Linked DNA regions of Caenorhabditis elegans. The protein of the gene in region 2 interacts with the protein of the main gene of each other region in a pairwise test. Each region holds a gene or a part of one and is shown on either strand. Other genes may lie near its edges.

Region 1 (4,804 bases), on a different chromosome or scaffold from region 2:
CGCCGCAGTTGCACTTTGGTGTTCGACAACTTCGTGACAATTACGTGACAACTTCGTGACAATTACGTGACAACTTCGTGACAACTTCGTGGCAACTTCGTGACAACTTCGTGACAACTTCGAGACAACTTCGTGACAACTTCGTGACAACTTCGTGACAACATCGTGCCAACTTCGTGACAACTTCGTGACAACTTCGTGACAACTTCGTGGCAACTTCGTGACAACTTCGTGACAACTTCGTGACAACTTCGTGACAACTTCGTGACAACTTTGTGACAACTTTGTGACAACTTTGGGACAACTTCGTGACGCTGTAAAGCCAAACGTAGTGTTACCTTCTTTCGCGAGCCAAAAAAACGCGAAAGAGGGGCGGAGTCTGCACACTCGGCATTTATTAGAGGCTGCTTGGCAGAATATAGAAATTGATGGTTTCATCTGTCCCTGGTCTCATCGTTTCAATTTCTACATTAAAGCCCACTTTTGTATTAATATCCCACATATCACCAATTTCTCATCTTATCATAGAATCTTTCAACATTATTATTTGTAACAATATTTGTATAAGTAGTATCTCTAACGTTTTATTTAAGAAAAATAATAATGAAGTTGACATTACAAATGTTTGAATATGGTAATATCAGTGGAAAAGATGACATAGATATATAATCTTTTTTAAAAAACGAATACAAATCAGCGCATAGAACACGGTACAATTGATGTAGAGGGATACGTAATATGCTGGAAAAATGGCGATACAGTCCAAACTTGTCTATTCTTTTTTTGCTTGACGCCGCTTTCGAGTAGTTGGCTTCTGCTTGCAGAGGGATAACGGGCGTTTCACTTTGTTGTGACGGTAATACAAGTTGCAAGCACTGAAAATATTACTTTAATAGTGGAACTAATGATGTATATTTAACTAGTCATTAAAATTAATAAAATTTTAAATTCGAAATTCTAAAAAATAATCGAAAATTATAAGCAAGTTCAACTGAGAATTTTTGATTTGGAATGTAAATGTTCTAAATGTTCGAAAAAATTCAGGGGTAGGCGGCAAGTGCCATTCGGCAAATTTTTTTGTCAACAAATTTGGCAAATCGATAAATTGCCGGTTTGCCATTTTGCCGGAAATTTTCATTTCCGACAATTTGCCGATTTTTCGGAAATTGAATTGATGATTTTTGTTTTTAGAGGGATTTTTTATAAGACGGAAACATTTAAAACTGTGCATTTTTGAAATGTTTTCTCCGTTTTCTTTAGATATTTTCACAGAACTTGCTTACTTTTCAGAATAGATGTAGGAACATTCATAGGATGCGTACAATTTTGCCGATTAAAATTGAAATTCGGAAATTTCCAAAAAAAATGTGCAAAACCACAAATTGCCGAAAATTTTCGGCAAATTCGGAAAATCGACAAATTGCCGGTTTGCCGATTTGCCGACTTGCCAGAAAAACAATCGGTTGCCGCGCACACCTGGTAGAAATAATATAAAAGAATATAATAAAATATAAACTTACTTGCACTCAAGATTCCCTTCATCATTTTTACGCCAAAGTGTGGTTGTAGTTGTTGAGCAGTGTGAGCAGCACGCATCACGAATTACCTGAAAAATTTCATATAGAAATATTTATTTCATTCTAAACCCTCGAATCCTACTTTTGCAATTTTCTTTCCCTTCTGTGAACCAAATCGGTTTCCAGATGATTCGTAACTGCTATCTTGCTCCACAAAGGATTTTTGCTCATTTTCATTTTTCGTCAAGCTTTCATCAAAAATAATTCTGGAATCTTCAAGTGGTTGTAATGGAGTAGTACACATTGACGACTGAATTGGTTGTTCGTATGGAGATGGAATTTGATAACTCTGGAATGGATCAAAGTGATGAGTTGAAGCATCTTGCCAAGTATTGTAGTACACGGGCTGCGGTGGGTAGACATATGGACTGAAAAGTTGGAGTTTTTATTCTCTCAAGCTGAGCTGAGTTTGTAGTACATTTGTGGTGCAGGAGACTAGGCAAAAGATTTGTAAGCAGTTGGTAAAATTTGGCAGGAAAAGTTAAGCGGAAAGTTGTTAAAATTTGTCAGAAAGTTGCCAAAAGTTTTGCAAGAAGTTGCCAAAAGTTGGAAAAAAGTTGCCAAATGTTGTCAAAAAGTTGCCAGAGCTTGGCAGGACGATGCCAAAAGTTGGCAAAAAGTTGTTAAACTTTAAAAGAAAGCTATCAAAAGTTGGCAGAAAGTTGCAAAAAGTTGTCAGAAAATGTCCAAAGATTGACAGAAAGTTGCAAAAATTTTGCAAAAAGTGTTAACATTTGAAAGAAAGTTACGAAAGGTAGACAGAATTTTTTAACTGCTTTGTAGGAAATTGTTAAACTTTGAGAGAAAGTTGGAAATTACCTACAATTGCCAAACAGGAAACATGTTAAGTCATACACTTTAAGCCATTCCCAGCATGAAACTCGTTTTTCAGACTCTCAAATTATAATAATAAACCTTAAAAAATATAATAATTCTCAAAGATTCCTATTCTCAAAAACACTGAAAACTACTGATTATAAGCAGTATACTTTGGAGCATTCGATATTGATTTTTATCAGTTATGCTACATGAGTTCAATAAAACATAGTTTTGGTCACATGTTGGAACAAAGTTGTTGTTTTTGTATACATTACTACAGGAAAGTAATATTTTGGTAGTAATGTAAAAACCATATAATTCTGTTGATAGTGAATATTTCAATTTAAGTTTGCCGTAAAAATAATACAATTACATTATGCAACATTTTTATGCACTGCAATAAAACAGTTTTGATTTCAAAACTTACTTTTGATTATATTGAAATTGATTAAATAAATAATAGTCCTCCATTGGACTTCTCGCTGGCGGCTCATTCATGATAGTCGTAACAGATGGAAGTGGTTGAAGAGTAGTAGTTTCAGGGAGCATTTTTTCCAGTCGACTAGAGCAGACAACTCTAACCACAAATGTCTGTCTTTGTTACAGGCAGGAAAGTAACAAAGAGCCCGGAGAGATCCTAGAGAAAGAGACAAAAAAGGTCAGAGTGATAAGATAGACCGGCGGCGGTGGTGATGGGGAACTGTGTGTGGCTCACCACCCATCATTAGTAGTTTATGATATAATGACTATGAACCTGGACGGCAAAGTTCTTAAAGGGAAGGAGAACGAAAGTAAATATGACTTGGGACTTTTATGGATAGTCGTAAATTAGTGGTAAGTCAGAGATGCATGTACCTATGCCTTGTGTGCCAGTGGACGAGCAAAAAAAGGAAACATGGGAAAGAGGGGGGGGGGGTGCGGCAAATCTCAAAATTTGCAGAGTCCGGCAAAACCGGCAAATTTGACAAATTTGCCCTGGTCGGCGAACCCGGAAAATCTCGATATTTTAAAACTATTTTTTGGATCACAAAATTGACGAAAAAGCTTTAAAAGTGTAGCATTCTGGAAAAAAAATTTTTTTTAAAGATACTCACAAAATTTTGTGTTATTTCATTCATTTCTTTCTTCTAAACTCAAGGCAAATTTTAGAGTATTCCGAGCTTAACAAATGGCAAATTGGACAAATTTGTCGCGAATGGGAAATCTTGTTCCAAGTTGAAATGCTGTGTCCTGGAGGAAGTGTGCAATTATTTTTTTTTAAGTTGAAGTAATGTGCAAAAGGGGCATAAACTGATTGTGAGAGTGCATAGTGTTTATAATTTAATTCTTGTATTATCGGTAGCCTATTTCTAACGTGTTTTTTTTTAAAATACATATAATTTATTTAAAATGAATGCTTGAAAAATCAACATGGAATGTAGTTTTACGTAAACTGTATTTTTCTATTAAAAAAAGTGTAGATTTGGAAAAAGATAAGAATTCAGAACTGTGAGAGGCGATTTTAAATTCATTATTTTTATTCAAATTACTAGCATTCGCGGCTTCTCAACTAACCGACTAACCCCCAATGTGCGTCTCGAGACCAGGATTGAGTACAACTCGGAGGTAATATAAGGTATTAGAATTACGAGTTCTCAGTTAACCGCTACAGATCTCGACACGAAATTACTTACACCACACAAAATGAGGAATCTGCAGAAAATTGGTATAAGATGGCTAATTCGAATTTCCGATCGGCAGTGTTTGAGGTATGAATCCCGATTTTTATAATCGGAACTTTGTGCCTACAGTACCCGCATGTGTTTCAAAATTACCTCTACAGTTTATTTTTTCCACTTCTACGACTTTAAAGGAGGGCGCATTTATTCAAAATGGTCCCGCCACGCTCCACCCATTGGTCTCGCCACGCGCTTCAAAAATCAATGAATGGCGCGTGACGAGACCATTTTGAATGAATGCGCCCTCTTTTGAAGTCGTAGAAGTGGAAACAAATACACTGTACTTTTGCAATTTCGCTCAACTTTTCGCAATTAATAGCGCTAAAACTCCGGGTTTTTGAAAAAAAAAACCAAAAGTACGGGGAAATGGAGAAATATGTGCGCGGAAATACTGTACCTGGTCTCGGCACGATTGAAACCTTTCAGCTACCGTACACCACAAGTTTTCGTAATCGTCTATTTCTAGACTTTCACCAAATTCATAGCGCTAAAATGTGTTTTTAGTGAAAAATTGAGGAACATTTGCGGATACGATACCTAAAAAGACCCACTACCGTAACATAAACAAATATAATTTTCAGAACCGTGTCCACGTGTGGGCACTCCCACTGAGCTATTCTCAATCGAAATATGGTGGCCGGAAGACTCCCTCATCTGCTTGCACAATAATCACTGTCCAGATTGCTCACG
Region 2 (3,543 bases):
GCCGGCAAAAAGAATTGGCTTCTGAAATTTGATAGTTTTTGGAAGCAACTTTACTTAAAACTTACCAATGCATAATTATTGTATAGTTTCATTGCGTTGTACCAGCTTATTTGTGACGATATTCCTGGAAATTCAGTCTTAAAGTTCCAAGCCATGGGAGTGGTGGTTGTAGTCTAAAATCAAAAATAAATCGATACCTTCCACAAATTACGAACCTCGACCACGGGACCAAGTATATCAAAACTGAAAAGTAAAAGGAACATAGCTTTGAAAGAGCAGGATATTTTTTTGAATATTTCTGGCAAGCCGTTCAAAACAAGATGACAGAATTTTCGCAAAAAGTCCGACTAGTCGCATGGATACCAAAAGCTCTGAAGCTTGCTTTTTGCGCAGATTTTATTCGGAATAAAGACTTAAGACTCTGGCTTTTTTATATTAACGATGTAGTTCTCGTTTCACCATTTTATTTAACTTCATAATTCAATTGTATAAAATTGAAATAAAGTTCAATAAAATTCAATTCAATTTAGTTTTCCCGTAGTTTTCATACTCCGCTCAATGAGTGACGTGCCTTTATTTATCAATTAGATCAGATCATTAGAATAATTTTATTAATGGCTTATTGATTAAACGGCAAATAACAATTATTTCCATAAAATTAATTATCCGAGCGATGCGTAGTAATTCAATAATTCATGTCTTTTCTGAAGCTCCAACAGTTGGATGTTACAATCAATCTCCATCTCTTCACATTTTTCAGTAGAGTCTCGCAATTGTCCGAGCAATTCTTCGCTCTTGGCGTTCATATTCTTCACAAGCGTCTTCATTTCATCGCGAAGTAGATCAGCTTCTCTTCTTGCAGCACTCGTTTCTTCTTGAATTCGGCACTTTTCAGCACAATTTTCAAAATAATTATATTTGTTTTCAGCCATCAGTTTTTCCAGTTCTTCTTCCTTTTGTCTCAAAACTTCCTTGACAGTTCGAATTTCGAATTGAAGATAATCCGCGACTTGATCCCGAGATGGTTGGTCGAGCTGGATGTTCATTTGATAGAGCTTCGTGACTTCTCTTGTAAAACGACATTTTTCCTTCTCATCTGCCAAATCGGTTTTTAACTGCTCTTGAACTGCATTCGCGATTGCCAGTTTGCTCCCTTCCAGTCCAATTTCTTCTTTTAAAACTGTAACTTGCTTCTTCAAACTCTGAATTTCACGCTTAGAAATGTCTTCCGAAAGATTGCGCTGGGCTGGCAAGTTACCGAGCGCTTCGACTTCCAGCTTCACTTGGAACGTCTTTAGCAAAGCATCCTTCTCTTCTTTTTGCTTGCGAAGCTTCTGAGCCTCGACTTGAGAAGCATACAATAGTACTTTGAGATACTCGAGCTCTTCGGACATTTTTTTTGTTGTGAAGGAGACTGGAAAATTGCTTTTGTTAAGAAAAATAGCAAAAAAAAAGCAACTTTGTAAACGGCAGTTTAAAAAAATTAGCAATTGCACCATGTTGTTTCATTTTTTTTAAAATTAAATTTTGATGTCAAAGTATAGAAAATTATTTGATTTATATGGAAAATAACATTGATTTTAGTTGAAATATTTGAAAAAAAAGTTTTTAAAAAATGAGCCCGGAAAATTGAAAATTTATCGAATTATCAAACTTGGCTTTCTTGACAGTCGCCAACTTTCAGGCCAGTTTTGAGCACTTTTTTGAACGTGCCAAATTAAATGAATGTTTTTTTTTCAGATTTTACCAAGTAATTTTCTATATTTTGACATAAATTTTTAATTTAAAATGTTGGATCAACATGGCGCATTAGTTAATTTTGTAACATTACCAAAAATGCCAAAAATGAAAATGGCAAGATTGGTCGAGAAAATATTAAAACATTGAGAAAAATTGCGAATCCTGTACGACAACTGTTACTCAAATGAAACTGTCTATTTAGGCCGGAATAACGTGGGTAATTGGGCGGAGAAGACTGGCTGGAAGGTCGATAGGGAAGGGTCTGGAGATGAGAGAGACAACTTGGTACATAGGCCAACTTGGTACATAGACCAACTTGGTACATAGGCCAACTTGGTACATAGACCAACTTGATACATAGGCCTACTTGGTACATGGACCAACTTGGTTTATAGGCCAACTTCATGTCTTTTCCGTACACCGGAATATTGATTGTACATATTATAATTTTTATGGTCATAATAATTTTATGACCCTTCTAAACACATTGATGGTTGAATAGCGTAGATTTGTAAGATATCTTATCCCCTATTGCCTGCCTTCCCGACAAACAAACATATGGTGAAAATAATAGGCTGTACTTTAATATTTTATTTAGAGCATTTGAACAAATTTCGAAAAAGTGGCACTAAACCCATAGCGAATATTTGAATCCTCAGAATTTCCCGATCGGAATGTCACCAGCATCGTGTTCCCAGTCGACACTAGATTGATCGGAGTTTCGTTGAATCCGCTGAACGATCCAAGCATCGGACTGCTAGTCGTCTCCCCATCGTACACCGTCACATAATCCAAATTCAGATTCGTAGAGAAATCGGTGAACTTCAGAAGGATGTTATAGGCTCCTGTTGTAGATAGTAGATAGCTACAGTACATGTTATTGTCGTAGTAGCCAGGGTATGCCGGTGAGGAGATGGTCCCAGGTGCCATGATCATAGAGCTATTGCACATTGATGGAATAACAGGAGTTGGCGGGGTCTCCGGTTCCACCCAAGGACAGGATGTTCCTGCAGGCCGCTTGCACAGGAAGCTATTACTTGCTTTACAATCAACTGGGTACCAGGAACCGGTGGGGACCATACTACCAGTTCCGGTAGACATGGCAAGACAAACCCCACCTCGTCGAGCTGTATGGTCTATATTGTGATAACTCCATGACGATCCGTCAAACCAGGTGTAAGAGCTGTTATAGCTCCAAGTGGCACCTATCAAGAGTGCAGAATAAGTGTAGAAGTTTGCATTGATGTATCTGTTCTCCATGGGTGAAAGGATTGAAGCAATGATTCCACAGTTCTCTTTGCAGATCTTCTGTGCGGATACAAATGGAAGTGGCGCGAAATCGAAGTAGCAATAGCCGTTGTAGTTCTTTTGGCATTGGTCTGAAAGTTTATAAATTTTTATGATGATTTGGCGCGAAATTAGAAATTCAAAATTTTAAGAATTCCCTTTACCTTCATTCGTTACCGGAAGCTCACATACAAACGCCCTTGACTCTTTTTCACAATCTCCACTGGACCACTGTCCCCTATCGAAAGCCACTTGGCTACTGTATACACATCTTCCTTTCTCCACCAATGGGAACCCTGAAAGATCCTTATTTTGTATAAAATATTTTTAATTTTTAATTCTTACCGCTCTTAAAGTTTTGAAACTGGTCGGCTGACCCGCTATCATCATCCCAGAAGCATTCCTTAGCGGAGCTCTTTGTGCAAAAGAGCCCTATCCAAATAGAGTTGGAAGCCCCACCAACGAAGATTGTGATTGCGCGATTGTCCTGTAAAATTTAAAATATCTTAGGCGGTC

What was found.
Region 1: the proteins of Y38E10A.3 (region 2) and elt-7 interact in a two-hybrid assay, tested with the Caenorhabditis elegans proteins (one large-scale study listed by BioGRID).

What each region holds. Positions count from the first base shown.
Region 1 is NC_003283.11:4,768,855-4,773,658, reverse strand, and holds elt-7 (Transcription factor elt-7), read right to left. Parts: upstream 2,990-4,804; 5' UTR 2,946-2,989; coding exon 2,824-2,945; intron 1,946-2,823; coding exon 1,660-1,945; intron 1,607-1,659; coding exon 1,521-1,606; intron 876-1,520; coding exon 773-875; 3' UTR 573-772; downstream 1-572. Other genes in the region: C18G1.9 (FERM domain-containing protein), read left to right, coding at 3,964-4,001, 4,048-4,144, 4,696-4,804. UniProt on the Caenorhabditis elegans protein: Transcriptional activator that binds to the consensus sequence 5'-[AT]GATA[AG]-3'.
Region 2 is NC_003280.10:12,573,375-12,576,917, forward strand, and holds Y38E10A.3 (Intraflagellar transport protein 81 homolog), read right to left. Parts: upstream 1,395-3,543; coding exon 663-1,394; downstream 1-662. Other genes in the region: Y38E10A.2 (Cellulase), read right to left, coding at 1-21, 66-155; clec-8 (C-type LECtin), read right to left, coding at 2,335-3,119, 3,192-3,323, 3,373-3,514.